Struthio camelus: one gene and its partner. The protein of the gene in region 1 interacts with the protein of each later gene in a biochemical or structural test. Links are inferred from orthologs where the notes say so. Each region holds a gene or a part of one and is shown on either strand. Other genes may lie near its edges.

Evidence for each region.
Region 2: the proteins of FGFR2 (region 1) and FGF7 form a complex in vitro, tested with the Homo sapiens proteins (3 studies listed by BioGRID). The link is inferred for Struthio camelus from reciprocal best matches to the Homo sapiens genes FGFR2 and FGF7.

The regions. Positions count from the first base shown.
Region 1 is NC_090948.1:6,146,570-6,154,758, reverse strand, and holds the start of FGFR2 (fibroblast growth factor receptor 2), read right to left. Parts: upstream 3,462-8,189; 5' UTR 3,427-3,461; coding exon 3,419-3,426; intron 1,184-3,418; coding exon 927-1,183; intron 1-926. UniProt on the Homo sapiens protein: Tyrosine-protein kinase that acts as a cell-surface receptor for fibroblast growth factors and plays an essential role in the regulation of cell proliferation, differentiation, migration and apoptosis, and in the regulation of embryonic development.
Region 2 is NC_090953.1:12,915,512-12,922,956, forward strand, and holds the start of FGF7 (fibroblast growth factor 7), read right to left. Parts: upstream 3,001-7,445; 5' UTR 2,878-3,000; coding exon 2,813-2,877; intron 2,285-2,812; exon of another isoform or gene 1,985-2,284; coding exon of another isoform or gene 1,938-1,984; coding exon 1,699-1,937; intron 1-1,698. UniProt on the Homo sapiens protein: Plays an important role in the regulation of embryonic development, cell proliferation and cell differentiation. Required for normal branching morphogenesis. Growth factor active on keratinocytes.

The sequences.
Region 1 (8,189 bases):
GCCTTATGAAGGAAGCCTCCCCTTCCCGCAAGGTGTTCAGAGAGCAGGAAAGGTCCTACAGAAAATAGTATTATCATTCTTAAATACAGCCGACTCATGCTAATAAAAAACCCAGCCTTTTCTTAACTCTTTACACAGGGGAAGCACGTTGGAAAGTTTATGTTAAGGATATATCTACAAGAACATACCACTAGATGAAGGCTCAGAATAGGAGGTTTCATCGAGACATCTCTTTCAATATAACTGTTTCCGTTAGTCTTTGCTTTCACAGGAATAAACTGCTACTCATGCTATTCAAATATAAACATTCACACTCCTACAATTTGCAATCCATAGAGCGCACTGATTGTTTTTGGACGTGAACAACAATAGGGAAATTTATAGTAACTAACTACAAACACCAATAACGCTGAGACACCCGTTTTTACTCTCTTAGCAGAGTGCCCTGCAAAATCAACTCACCAGGACATACAGCGAAAAATTATTGGGCTTTTTCTTTTCCTCTTAACTTTTCAGGTAGTTACAATCACAAAGGCATGCAGCAATACAAACATTTGCATTTCTGGAGATGTCAATATGTAACAGGCATGTAAGCGCAACACACTGGTTTTCTTAAAGATCCATTCCTGAAAACTTTTATACGTACATTTAGATTTTTTACACGTACATTTAGATTATATGAAGTGATGACAAGCTAAGTGAAATCACTGACACCACTCGCTTGCATATGCTTAACCATACGCAGCCTTGCATGAACACGGCCCATGTGTAAACAGGAAAAGTTGGAAAACACGTAACTTTTGAGAACTAATCTGTTACTTGCCTTATATTTACCAAAGCACAGAAAGATGTTGATTTCTATTTCAAAAATTCAGGCATTTAAAATTAATTTATACTGCAGAATTAAGCATTCTAGACTGATTTACCTTCAGGTTCCAACGTGGCGTCTTCAACAACTAAATTAAATGAAGGTCGAGCCAGGGAAAGTCCAGCCATGGTGACCACCACCAGGCATATAAGGCAACCTGAATCCCAGCTGACCATCTTTTTAGTGTAAATTCCTGGTCCATTTCCATATCTCCATGTGGACTTTAATCCCATCTGAACACCTCTACAGAAGCATGGACAGAAAGCAGTGCCTTCGGCCACGATAATACCTCCTCGCTTGGAACGTCTTCTGCTGCTGTGGGAGAAAGAGAGATTTAACAGTGTCAGTGAAACCATCTCAAATGCAAACCAAAAAAACTTCACAAAGCCCCAAACAGGATTGAGAGTGGGAGGAGAAGGATGGGAAAAGTAGTTTTCCAGCCTCAAGAATATGTGAAAAGTGAGTGACTTTTCATTTTCTGTTAGCAGTTTCCATCATCACCTGAGGCGTAACCAAGTCCTCCTTGTTTTCCCCAAATCACTTCTCAGCACATATTTAGAGAGTTATTTTAATGACAGAAAAATATATAGCTTTAAAAAAATAAGAGCATGCACATGTGCAGGCACATAACCTTTAATATTACAAAATTACCACAATTATGCAAATTGTATTCTTGTTACTGTTTGACAGTTTATGTAAGTTTGCCTTGTTTTTCAGTCCTTCACCTAGGCAGTTCTGCAGTCAGCTGAATTTTCAATAATTCAGTAATCTTCTACAAGGAAAACAATTGAAAAATACTCTCTAGGCTAGAAAATCTGGAAAACTTTGCATCACTGCCTGAATTCCAACTCTTCTCTACACTTCCTTCCGCCTAGCTTAGTTCAGTGTCCATTTGAATGTCTGAGAATCCAGTACAGGTAAAAGGGTCCAGTCTTTGCAGCGGTACTTCTTAATTAAAGGGGATTTCAGGCAATTAAAATCCGTATAAAGTTTGATATAGATTGCCGTTTCACAGGAGATCTCCCCAGCATCATTTTCCATCCACACAATGCTAAGCTGCAAAGCACGCTTACCCATGCACGCACATTTCTGCTCATTCTCGCTTGGGGATGCTCATTGATATGTATTTTACAAATGAGGGGGAAATGTTTATTTCATTCACTGCAAAACAGATCATTTAAGACGAAGATGACTGTTCGGTAAATTAGCTATGCGCTGATGGAAAAGAGAGGAGAAAAAACAGCATCAAACTACTTGACACTGCCTTCAGCGTCAGACCCAGTGACCACCACACCAAGATGCCAGGTGTGGGTCTGAAGAGCATCCTCATGCTTAACAGCTTATCCAGAAAATGGCACCTTATTTTCCTCTCCAAAAATAAAAGTGAGTATACCTCAGTGAATGGATAAATCAAGTAACTGCATCAATTGTTCTAATCTGGCCAATGATCAATCTTAAACATGATGAAAGTTAACCCAAGTTTTGAGGGTGCCCATCTTGAAGGAAAAAAAAAAAAAGCATAAAACCTATTTTTCCCTCCTGCCCTCACCCTTAAAAAGAAGAGGGGGAAACAAAGGGATAAAGGAAAGTTTCTCAAAATTCCCTGCCATCTGAATGCGCAGAACACTAGAGCACCTCAACATGCTGTACTCAGAAACAGAGACAAATACTCTCTCCCTCTGTAAAGGCAACCATTAAAAAGCGTACTCAAATTTTATTAGCCTTTAGCTAAGACCTGGTACATACAAACCAGGTACACCGTATTAAGAGCAGAAATGCTGTTGCGGTGTTTTTTCTGGGATACTATACACAATAATTTCTGGAGTCAGTAGAAATGGATATTAGAAGACATAAATAAGACAGTTGGGGAAAAATCATTAATACGTGGTATTTCTAGTGAAGCCATGGTATTTGAAGTCAGTTTTTTTCACCTCAACTAGTATCAGCTCAATGCTCCATCCTCTTTCAGACCACAAGCTAGCAACCACTATTAAATCTTCAGTGAAAATACCACCAGACCACTGCATAAACATTTGTGAAGAGTTCTCTGAACACCTCTTCTTTAAATAAGTGCAGAGCAGGTGTAGAATTGAAGACTGGTTTGTGTTTGGTGAAGGACTGGAGCAAGCCCTCCTGGACACTATCACCCAGATCAACCCTCTGACTCACTGTCTGACAGCCACAGTGCTGTGGCTCAGTTTATCCAGCTGTAGAGTGGGTAAAAATCCCAATTAACAGACTGCATGTAATGCTAATTCAATTTCCACAAATCATCCTGTGAAACCTGATTAAAGCCTACGTATACAAATGCAAAATTTAATCATAATTTCGCAAAAAAGAAAACATACTGGAATGCTAACATATATTCCAGACTCTTTTTTAAACAGCATCAATTCCGTTCACATTTCAGCTGTTTAAGGCTTTTAGGCTACATTAAAAGTGATTTAAAGCATGCATGTGGCTCCTACCATCATACTAAGTCCTGAACTGTAGCACAGGGCTACTTGCCAACGCACCTTCTCACCTGAAGATTTTTGACAGTTTCTGTACCTGAACATTTGCCAGCAGAAAGAAGGGATTCTTCATCCACAGGACAACAGAAAATTTTAAAAATATCTTGCAAAGGTGTAGCAAAGCAAAAATCAGAGCTCTGGGTCCATCCATGGAACCAAAACACCTTCTACAGCCATGATAGTGACCATGGTTCAAGGACTGCCCTTTCCCCCAAAAAAACAGAGTCCAATGAAAAAGAAATGAAACCAAATTCTTTTCATAGTTTAATTGCCACAGTTGCTGGGGGACGATTCTCTGGAAAGACCTCCTGCACTGGATAATTATGTACCTCTATCTCAATGTTTGGAACACAGCCCCAGCATGCTTTTTGGCCTCCACAATTCTGGCTTCCTGACTACAATACCATAATCCCTCCTGGAGTCTCAGACTCAGTGAAAGCCACACGTAGTGTTTATTTTTCCCCTTGAAAGGGAACTCTGTCTCTCTTCTCAGCCTACACTTTGGGGAGGAGTTGTCAGCCTCCAATGATTGATGGCTCTCCTTGCCACTCGCTCATCAAGTCAATTTTCACCTCGTCACATACCTGCCCAAATTTCTGTGCCAAACTGACAAGCATGGGAAAGCAGACTGGTTTGGGAGCCTAACCAAATTCCTCCAAGCTGTACTTCAGTTTAAACACACACACACACACACACACACACACACACAAACAAGTAGTACTTGTTCAGCAGTGGCACTAATTAAATTCAATGCTCCATGTTCTTTTTAATCTACTTGCATTGTTGTTTATAAGATGTTTATCACTCCCCAGGGAGAGTACAATTTGTAGCGTATGTTAACCAAATCAATACATTGCTCATTGTATAACTCTTTAGCATCTTTCTCTACTAGGCACGGAATAGCAAAATCTGAATGAAACATGAATCTTCCCTCCTCAAAGAAAACCCAGATGCCCTAACAACAGCCTAGTAGCTTCATCAGAAAAGTCTAGGTACATGAAGCTTTAAAACTAACTGTTACGCATGTATATAATCACATGTATGAAAAACATAAATACACAAGTGTGTGTGTGTGTATATATACACTCACATATATATCTACATATACATATATAGACAACAAGACTCTTCATCACTGTTCAATCTCCAAGTAGATTTGAGCATCACAGCTATTAAACATTAATTCTGGAGGACTAATGGGAAACGGCTGGCGGCTTCAATACTTTTTCATTGTTCAAACTTCTTTCATTTGCTTTCCAGGACTATCCTGTTTTTCTCAAGTCTTTTGCCACTAAGAGATCAGAAAAAAAAAATCTGCATTTTAATTGACATTCCAGAGAGAGAGAGAAGTCCAGAGGCTGCTGATTGCTGTCTATTCAGCCCAAACAGGCTTTTCAGATGAAAATGAGTAAAGGCTAGTGGAAGATTTACAGGGATTTGGTACAAAGGAGACAATGAAGTTTTAAATGTTGATAGCGTTTCACACCAAACGCATAATGGATCACTGTTTGAACGGGCCGTTTTGCATTTAAATATATATTTCACTGAGGATCTCTTCTTTTCTCCCCCCCCCCCGCCCCTTATCTCAGGCGGGGGCAGTTATGTACCGCCTGGCCCTCTAACCCCGAGCATCGCGGCGGGGCACGGCGGGCGAGGACCTCCCGCTTCTCGGCGCTTTTCCCCGCCTTTGCGCCGGGCTCCGGGCGGCCCGTCGAGGCGCCGGCGGCCGGGGGCTGCGGGGGCTCCTGCGCCCCCGGCCCTACCAGCACCTCTCCGGGGGTCGGGAGCGGGTGGAGGGGGGGGCAAGGTTAAGCCTCCCTCCTAAAAAGCAGCCCGCTAACCGTGTCGCCGTGCCGTCACCGCTGCAGACCCTCCCCAGAGATTTCCGCGCACCAAACGGGCTCCGTTTTTCTGCCAGGCTCCCGCACCCCGAGCCGCAAAGACGGTCAAGTGATGGAAGTGCCCCCCCGACCTCCGCGGAGCCCCGCACCGCAGGCTGCGGACGGAGCCGCGGGGCAGCGCCCCTCCGCGGGCCGCCCCCGGCCGGGCCCGCACCTCTCCGCGGCCCGCGGAGCGGCCCGCCCCGCCCCACCGCCGCCGCGCACCAGGTGCGAGGCCCCCGGCGGCTCCGGCGCCCAGAAGCCGGGGTGGGGGGGGGAGTCCCGCTCTCGGCCACCTTGCCCCCACCTCGCCTTTTGGGGGGGGGGGTTGCATTTGCCTCCCGCTCCCCCCCTCCCCATCCCACCCCGCGCCGGCGCAAACCCAAGCGGGTGCCGTTTACCTGCAGGAGAAAAGCTCCGCGGGAAGGGTCCGCTGCCGCCGCAACAGGCGGGCAGAGGCGAAGCGCGGTGCCTCGCAGCGGCTCGGCGGGACGGGGAGAAACTCCTCCGCGGCCGCGGGTCACTCCGCAGGTAGCCCCGGCGGGGCCGGCTGGCAAGCCCGCAGCGGCGCAGCGGGGCGCATCCCCCGCGGGGCGCGGGCGGGACGCGGCTCGGCGCACGGCTGCGCGGGGAGGCAGGAGCAGCGGCTGGGAAGGCGAGGCAGAAACCGGCCCGACTGCTCGTCCCCTCGCTGCGCTGCGCTGCGCTGCGGCAGGCTACCGCCTCAGAGGGGCGACCCGGCCGTGCCCAGCGCCAGCAGCCTCGTCCCCCGCGCGGGCATCGCCGAGCGCAGCGCCGCGGGTCCGGGTCCGCTCCATCCAGCCTCCCTCCCGTACTCGCCGCAGCTTTGTCAAGCCGACAACCCTCCTCTTTTTTTTTTTTTCCTCCTTTTTTTTTTTTTTTTCCTCCCCTCTCTCTTCTCTGCACACTCCTCCGGCTACCTTCCTCCCTCCCCTGGTCACTCCCCCCGCTGCAACCCGAGCCGTTTCCTGGACGGCGCTGCTCGCCTCTGCCAATCGCGGCGGCCGCGGCGCGGAGCCCCTTCCCCCGCGGCCGCCCGGCGCGGAGAGGAGCGGAGCGGAGCGGTGCTGTGCCGTGCGCTGCCGGAGCCGCCGCGCAGCCAGCGCGGCTGGGCACCGGCCCGGCCCGCCCCCGCGCAAGGGCTGCGCTCCGCGCCCCGGTGTTCCCGGCTGGGCAGAGGGGGCGGCCGTGTCCCCCCCCCCCCCGGGGCAGCTGGGTCGGGGCCGGGCCCGCCTGCGTCCCCTCCGCGCACCGGGGCCACGGCCCGCACCGGCGGCGTAGGCAGGGCAGGACTGGGCTCCTCATGCAGAAATGGTACCAGCACAACATTCCCGGAGAATCTTTCTTGAAGTTTTTAGGGCCATGGCTGGCTGATCCGTAGCCTGTTCCAGCCTGCGAGGGTGATGAGATAACATGCAGTCAAAAAATCACCTTCGTCTCAGGAGCCCTTTTAGCGCAGAGCCTGATTTCAACTGTTTTGGATTCCTCTGACAGTACACCTTTAATAATTCTGTATGTGGTGCCCAAGGAGGGAAAGCTGTCAAAACAGTTCATCAGATCTTATTTGCCTGCACACACAAGATTTAGAACAATGCATAATATTAGCATTTAAAATTCAGTGCAAGTTAAACTGATACTTGCTTAATAAAACATTTGCTTTAGATATCATTAACTAAAAGGTTGCTAATACAGAGTCCGTGTAATGCTTGCTTTGTAGAATCAGCTCGGCAATGAAATCAATAAGCGGCAGTTGCCTCAAATTAAATCAGCGTTGATCAACTTAGTGTTGCTTTATTTAAGCATAGCTCCACTGTACCTTTTTGTTCTGTGCTCTATCAGCAGAGGGGATCTTCAAGGACTGTGACCCCACAGAACAGTATAACTCTGTACATACTTCCAGACAGCAAAAAACCTGAAAACAAGTTTTCTGTAGAGTATGTGCTTACCTCCCAGAAAGTGTTTTCCCACCATCACCAGCAGCAAGGCAGGCTTTGTGAGGGACAGCAGACAAATTTGTAATTGATTAGAAACACATTTTTTTCTTTTTCTTTTTTTTTTTTTGGTTCCTAGAGCCACAGACATTTGAATGTTCTAATTGAGAAGCTGAGATGTCACAGTCAAGGTCCAATTTTCCCAGGTCCAAGCATGTCCATTGCCCATTGAAAACACTGTTAATGCATTCTCACATAAATTATTGTCTAACACAGGAAGCTGCAATACCTTTCCCCATTCATCGATATCTTTGCATACTTTGAAAGAAAAGGAAGCATTCCACTAAAAATGACAAATCAGAACACCTATTTCCAATGTCTGGAAGCACTCGTCAGGAATTATTCTTCTGAGGAATGAAAAGATAGCAGTCTGTCATTAGCACCCTATTCTCTTAAATGAGCCACATTCTCTTAAAAGTGGCCCACAGCAGCCCCACTCCTCAATCTGAGAAAAGCAGAAGCATGTTTGGAATTAAAGGGGGTGGGGGGATCAATTCTGTCATCATATTTAGGCTTCAAGAGATCTCAGTGGGCCCAGGGAGCCTTTCATAGCAGTTAGGCTGCTGAATGAGAGCATAATCTCTTTACAGTTTTTTCCTCCTCCTCTCAAAGTGGCTGGAATCTTTTTTGTGAGCCCTCCTGCACGTGAATGGTGTGGCTAATAAGCCTATTAATGAGGTTCCACAGTGGAGTGTGAATAGGTAAATAAGCCCCAATCTGTTGAGGTTCAGGAGCAAGGGCAGTAAAGCCATCATGAACTAAAGGTGACAGTTTGAACTGAAATAGGAACAACAGCTCCAGGTTTCAAGCAGAAGAAAAGACAGACAAGGCCCACATTCAGAATCCTTCTACCCCCTACCGAGCTCTATTTTCTTTCCCATTCTTCCTCCTTTATAAAATGTCTTGAGTAGTCACC
Region 2 (7,445 bases), on another chromosome or scaffold:
ATTTCAGGGTATCATTAGCGTGCTTCAGCAGCATGGAATCCTGCAGAGCATTGAGAGTCTTTGCTTGAATTTTGAAATAATGCTCAATTACTAACCAAGTCCTTAGTTAAGCAGCATGGGACCACAAAAAGCAAATTTATATAATTATTTAGCTCTATATGTTGACATAATCTCTTCAAAGTATTTCTGTCTAAATAATAACAGGAACAAAATGGGTAGAATGGATATTAATTTCTCCGCCAAAAAAAAAAAAAAAAGAAGAAACTATTTCAACAGTCAGTAGCAGTTTTTCTATGGACGTCTATGGGAGCAACATTTCACTTCTAAACTAGTCCTATAGGTCTTTATTCTAGCACTGTCTTCCTGAAACTTGGAGAGAGTCTTGAATATGGACCAAATAATTTATTTGGCTTCTGGCCATGTGGTACCTTTCAGATCATTATGGTTTTACAGAATATAATAGTGTAGGAAGAAAGCAGGCATATAGAAACAAATTTTAAAAGAAAGTAACATTAGTCAATGAAGTTTTAGCCACACAAGATGCCAAATACTTAATGCAGTCGTGAAGTAGAGCAATACATTATGAAGCCCACTAGCTAGGCACTTAGCATTGAAAAGTGCTGTTTTTGTAGAAAATAAGCAGTCATCTTCAGTTGAAAGCTGAAACACATTAACAGTTCTTGAAGTTTTTTTTTTTTTTTAACTGTTATATAAGGCACAGTAATATGTGCAACATACATTAAAACTCCATTTAATTGCATTCTTGGACAGATATTTGTCCTTTCAGTAGACTGTAAACACTAGACCAGCATGTCTCTGGCCCTTTTTCCTTGTCATTTTGTTTTGAAATATGTAATAAAATCCTATGCTTTTTTCTGCTATATTTTAAGAAATGAATATAGAGTCTTTTAAAGGACTCCAAATATACACTATATTTGTGATAACAAAAAAGCCAAATTGGCAAAAATAGTGAATGTAAAAATGATGCCTTCAAGTAGTTGTAAATGAAAGTTCTACAGGTATATACGTGAAAAATATATTTTAGAACAATGATTCTTTTGCCAGTTCAAAAATTGTATTTGGTAGGACTTTGCAAAATTTTATATGTCCATTCTCTCTAGATGAGTCATCTCTTTGGAAGAAAGAGGAGAGAATATTTTTTCATCATCATGATCGTTGTAATAATGAACTGCAGAAACTATAATAGATTTTGTTCCTGACTTGGCAAAATATCTAAAAGATTTTGTAAGACAGTTTACATAATTCTTTCCATTGAACTTTCTAGTATTGCATATGTTTTAATTGTTAACTCAAACATACTAAACTTGTAGGTAGTCTGTGGACTATATAAATGTGGTTTAATGTTTCATAAGTATTTTATGAGCAGAATTTGTGGTTAAGCATTTTCATACTTACAACCTTAATTCACTTGTTAAAATAGGCTCTCTGTTTGCTAATAGTTACCAGCTGTAACTAATACATTAGCAGATCTACAATGTAGTATTTAAAATGACGCATTTCAAAATCAATAACAAATGTTTGCTGTAGGATTAGTTGGAAAACTTGTCTTATACAATGGTCAGTATGCTATACAAAATTATTTTGAAATTACTGTGAGTTAAGGGATAGGAAACAATGATGCGTGATTTTTCTAAAAACTTAGAAGACAAATAGCAGATAGCAAAAGATATTACTTACTGTAGTTGTTGTTTGCTTCTCTTGTCCCTTTTACTTTGCCTCGCTTATCAATCCTCATATACCACTGAGTTCGACAGAAAAGTCTTCTCACTCTTACATCCCCCCCTTCCATATAATCATAGCTTCTGGTATGTCGCTCAGGGCTGGAACAGTTCACATTTGTAGCCATTTGCTCTGGAGTCATGTCATTGCAAGCTAAAGATATAGTGCCCATTAGAAAGATAAGGTAAAAGTATGATCTGTAGAGCAAAATTGGCAGGATCCATGTCAGTATCCATTTGTGCATTATAGTGCAGTGTTCTGGGTGTTCATGAACAACATAATGAAAATTAAATCTCAAGTAGACTGTTGCTCTTAGGTCACCGACCTGCCTTCTGTCTTTATGAGTTACAGATTGATTTAAATGAGATTGTTCCCTCTTCTAAGAATTCTGATCCTTATTCCTTAATAGTTAATGGCGAAATGGAAGAGCTTCTTAAATATCTTTTCAGTCAAAATATCCTTTAAAGACACAAGTTATAAAAACCTTTGTTGCTGTGACCTTCTGTACTACTTGAATTTGCTGCTTGCACTGCAAGTAAAAGATCTGTGAGAAAAGTTGCATGTGTAAGTAAGTATTTTATGATCAGTCGTTACAAACGTGCAAGAATATATTATACTACTTAAATGTACCGTACATAAATGTATGACATGCTAAGCTGGTTTTTAAATATACACAAATGTATATACAACAGATATCTTTATATAGCTTTTTACATAAACAGACATTTAAACTGATTGTAAACATACTTCTATCTTCAGTTCAGTTATAAGTCCTTCCAAAAAAACCCTAGTAAGTCAGCTGAACTATGTTCTCATGCACTGAAAAATACTACTGATTACTTCGTACCTATATCTTCACTATTAGCCACATTCTATCAGAGAACATTTCTCTAGTCCAAATTTCAAGAGAGACCACATGGAGCCTTATTGCTTTCTTTTTATACGTTCATTTTCAGTTTATTGATAGAAAAATTAGTCAACACTTTTTTAGCGTCTAACAAATAGAAATCAAGATAAAAGCTATTAGCTATTAGTTAACTGTTGAACGTTCTTGTAAGGGCAGATAACTTACTTGTTTCTGTTGATAACAGCTGGATACCCAAGTATTCCATTTCTGTTGTCTGCGTTTTGCAACATGAGACTGTGCTGTAGCTACAGACTTTCTGAGCTCAGAAAGACTCCACCAGAATTATAATTGTTTCCATAAATCAAGACGCTAGAGAGATGGTGTGTATGTGCTTATGCATGCATGTGTGTGTTGAGCCTGTTGTTCAGTCCTTTTCGATAAATACCTTTGCTGACCTCACTTGGAAGCAATTAGAATTTAACCAGTCAGCTGTCAGTTGAATCCACGAACAAAAATAAAAGGAGACTTGTGCTGTATAGTGTCCAGTGGTCATCAGAGGGAGCTATGTACATAGTTTATATTTTAAATCTCCCAAGAATCTACTTTCTAAAAACGTATATCCTATGGTGTTGCTTTACGTGCCAGCTAGCGTTTCTGTTCTTTGATTTAAGTCAATATTTTTCTGTCCTTAAAAAAAAAATAAATCCTCTCTTTCACACACACCTTTATCTCAGTTTTCCTTCAAATCTTTTTTGCAGTTTGATAGATTCATACTGTTTTCTCTGCTTACTGCCTTTCTGATGGATAAATGAAACATGTGGGCTTGTTATGTACTGTGGAGAGGGTGTGCTGTGGCCATTATAGATTGTGCGTCGCATTTGTGTATCATAGACTTATAAAAGAGGAGCAACTGCACAGAAAATCACTGAGATTTTTATTTAATTGGCCACTAGGGGAAAATAAGACTATATATTTGGATATCTGACATTCAAGCACAACTTTTATCAGCATGAAGGAGAAAAAGAACTACTAGGAAACAGTCTTCCTTAGCATATGTAGTTATTAGGTCCTGAAACTCACAACATGAGAATGAAAAGTTGCTGCAATGCAAGTAACACCTATATACAGCACATTGACCAATGGATGACCAGCAGGCTTAAATTGTAGAGGATCCAAGTAATGGCTAAATATGCCAGGTTTTCCGCTTCTATATGCTTACTTCCAGCTGTGGCACTAGCCTGCTATCCAAAGCCTATGTTCCATTTCAGCCTGAAAAGATTCTGTTGGGATTCTGATGAATGTATTTGTAAAACATATGGAAACTGTGGTTTTCTGTAAGGAATGGATACATCAAGAACAGTTTACTTGCCTTAGTTGTCTATAATTGGTACTATATTGTAGTTTGTCTTTCCCTGTTTTTTCTCCCACCCCTACTCCTCACTCTGTAGAAATGGGAACAGTTACTTCTTAAAACTTGATTAACAAACTGTAGAGGCATTTAAAAATGATAGGGAGTACGTATGTGCCACCTTGTGGTACAGGGAACATAGTAAAGCAGGGTTTTTCACTGAAATATTCCAAAATGAGCATCAAAGGTATATGACACCAGGGGACCTTATATTACCCAGCCTTTCCTGTACACAAACATAGAGAATGGATCATTTCCTTCCTTGAAGTCCCTGACTTCTTCCTCAGAGCTCTCTTGGATTAATCCCATTTGTCACTTGCAACTTTTTTTTTTTAAAACTATTTTCCCTCAAAGTCCAAAGGTAATCAACTTTCCTTCTCATTATCTCCGTTTCAGCCTATTGGGCTGTTTTGCGTGTTCTGTCACTCAACTAAAATTTCCTAATTCAGCAAAGAGCTTGATGTATACACCTCACAAGGTAGGGAAGAGGTGGCACTGTGTACCTTTCAGAGGCTGGATGCCTCCAGTAGATACACAAGGAAGTGGCTCTCATTAAGGCTAACCCCTGTAAACTGTGATCACTGCTGTTCCCAATTTGCTTGTATCCTGTCAACCCATGACTACTATTCTGACCAGAAGTGGCAACTGAAAGGACTTGCTGCGGTTGCGCTTTTGCCAGTACATTTGTTGTGTGTGTATCAGTATGTTCTCAGATCCATTCCACAGCCTGAGTTCAGAATGATAGCAATGAAAAAAATCTGAGGCATTCACAAGGCTTATCTATTGTGTATTATAAAGAAAGCAATGAAGGATAAAATGTAATCTATGTCTTACTTCTCAAAGTAGGATGCAAGCAGAAATATTTTTGTAAATATTCTGAGTCTTTTATGAGCAGTAACAACTTTCACTTTCAGATCCATACTTACTTTTTTTCATTTTTCTTTCTCTTTACTAACTTGCTGTTTCTTTTTCTGACTGTTAGTAAGAGAGGGGGAAAAATACATACCTGAAGTTTCAGTTTCAGAAAGCTGGAGCTACTTGTGTCCAGGCATAGGCATGTATTTCTCTTGGCTCTGCAGAATAAATCAATTGCCTTAAGTATATTTTGAAGTGGTGCTTCAGTTCAGATCTTTATGAAGTTTTGTATTTAGAATAATTGAAAAGCAGTTTAAATAAGGCACTAGCTGTAAGTTTAGTCAGTGAACAATGTAGTTAATCTTTAATTACTGCTAACTTTCATGTCCTCACATTGTCTAATTTTAGAATAACTTTTTCCAAAATGTTTTAACTGTAGTATTGTTTAATCACACAGTTTTATGTCTTACTATATAAGTACAACTGCATATTTTTTAATGAAGGAGCGCCATCTTGATCTGCATACGCAAGTCAGGATTTCTCACATAAATCTCAGGTCCCTTGATTGATTCAGCCCACTTCTGTTCAAGACAAGCATAACTAATTCCTCTCTCAAATTGACCTATTTTAGTTTTATGGAAGATCATGCAGTTGGCTTGAGTTTCACTTCTTCCTCTATCTTCTTACAAACATACATGCCCAGGACTTTTAAAATCAAACCCCAAGCAATTCTTTAATAAAACAGAGAAATAGTTCCCCTAAAATGCTAGAAATTTTGTATTTCTTTGGCAAGATGTATTTGAAGAAATGTGTTAAGGCATCATGACTACAGGAAACATGAAACCTTAAAGAGAAATGCATAAAATTCACACACTTTAAGCCATCCTTTAATGTTTAACTCAACCTGCTCCCTTTACAGTAACCCTTGTTTCGGTTTCTGCCTGATTGGCAGGCAAATGTTCACAGCACTGCTGCAGTGCGCGTCCTGAAAAGACGGCAAATGAACAGCAAGCACTTTGTTTCCAGTTATAAGGATTGTGCCCAGGCCTCCAATTCAAACAGAAACACATAATAATCTTTTATCTCTCTTCACTCACCTTGGAAGCTACTTTTTGGAGGCAAACATGGTTTTCTTAGCAATTTTCAAAACAAATCCCTGAAACATCGTTCATTTGTATTTGTTTACTCCATTATTCATCTAGAACACGTCGAGCTGATTTAATTCTACAGGAAAACTGGAATGGGATGCAGGAGATTCTAAGAAAAAAATTATTGTAAAGTAATTGACAAATCTATAACAATTTTCTTTTTTTGTTAATTAACTCCTGCAAATTATTTGTATGTAACTTATTTTAGGAAACATAAAGGATGGGAATACTTTAGCTCTATCAGTAATCTATCTTACCTCTTGCTTAAGAGGTAAAGGCATCTCAGCTTATTTCCCTAGGAGAAAGAGTCACTGATACTGACTTTTGAAGGAGATAGCCGGAATAAAGCAGAGTGGGATTCTAAAGATAAACTTTCTGGGAGTCGGATGAATCTCTCCTTTCTCAATGTAGCTTACATAGTACATGGTTATAATAGGTCTCCTTGCTATTAATAGCTTGATAATGATAATCCGTGCTGTCAGTCAGCTTCAGGGAATCCTTCCATTTGTGATGACATCAGGACACTTGGAGTGTGATTAACATAATGTAAGATGCAGAATTGAATTGTAACAGTAACTTTTTGGTGAAGGTGGAAAGATTATAAAATTGAGATGATAAACTATTGAAGAGAACAGTTTGGTTTACCTTATTACCAGGTATGAACTTGGGAAAGCCTCTGTTTTTTATGTGACTAGCACGTTTGTATTCAATTTTTACTTTTACCAGAATACTTATGATGTAGCGATTTCTTCTGCCGGATTTTAAATATATTTTATTTCTTTTGCTTTAAGATGTGCAGCATCTTTTTATAGACACGGTTGGATACGAGTTAAGTTTAAGACTTTAGATTCCTAGAACTTTGCTGAAAAATCTTTTTTAAAACATTGCCAAAAATATTATTCCCATGACTATTAGTAGTAATAAATATGAAATAGTCTTCAAGCTCTGCTTTTGTCTCTGAGTATAGTTATTCACAGATTTGAATACTGCATATAATTCAAGAATGGGATACACAAATGTTTTCTATCTTTTTGTTTTTAAGTGTTCAAACAAGCTAGTATTTTTAGCCCTTCACATGGGTACATGTAAAGCATAACTATTACTGTGATTTACTTCATTAAGCATTTCAAGGCTCATAAGAGTTTTTAACATAAGAAGAATATAATACATGAATGAAGTTTAAAGCAATAATAAAGCCTTGTTGCCATGATAATATATACCCATTATTAGCCTCTCTGCCTGCTAGTCTTTTCATCTTAGAAAACAACTTTAGTTCCTTCTAGTTGGAGCCCATTGCAAGGCAGATTTTGGATGGCAGGCTTTTCAGCTCTTTTCTTTTCTTTTTCTGGGTTTAAAACTGTGGCTTCACTGATCTACTAATGATGCCTATTGAACAGAGGTTGATTGAGAATGGAAAATTATCCTCTTAGTCAAATGTTTCTTTGTA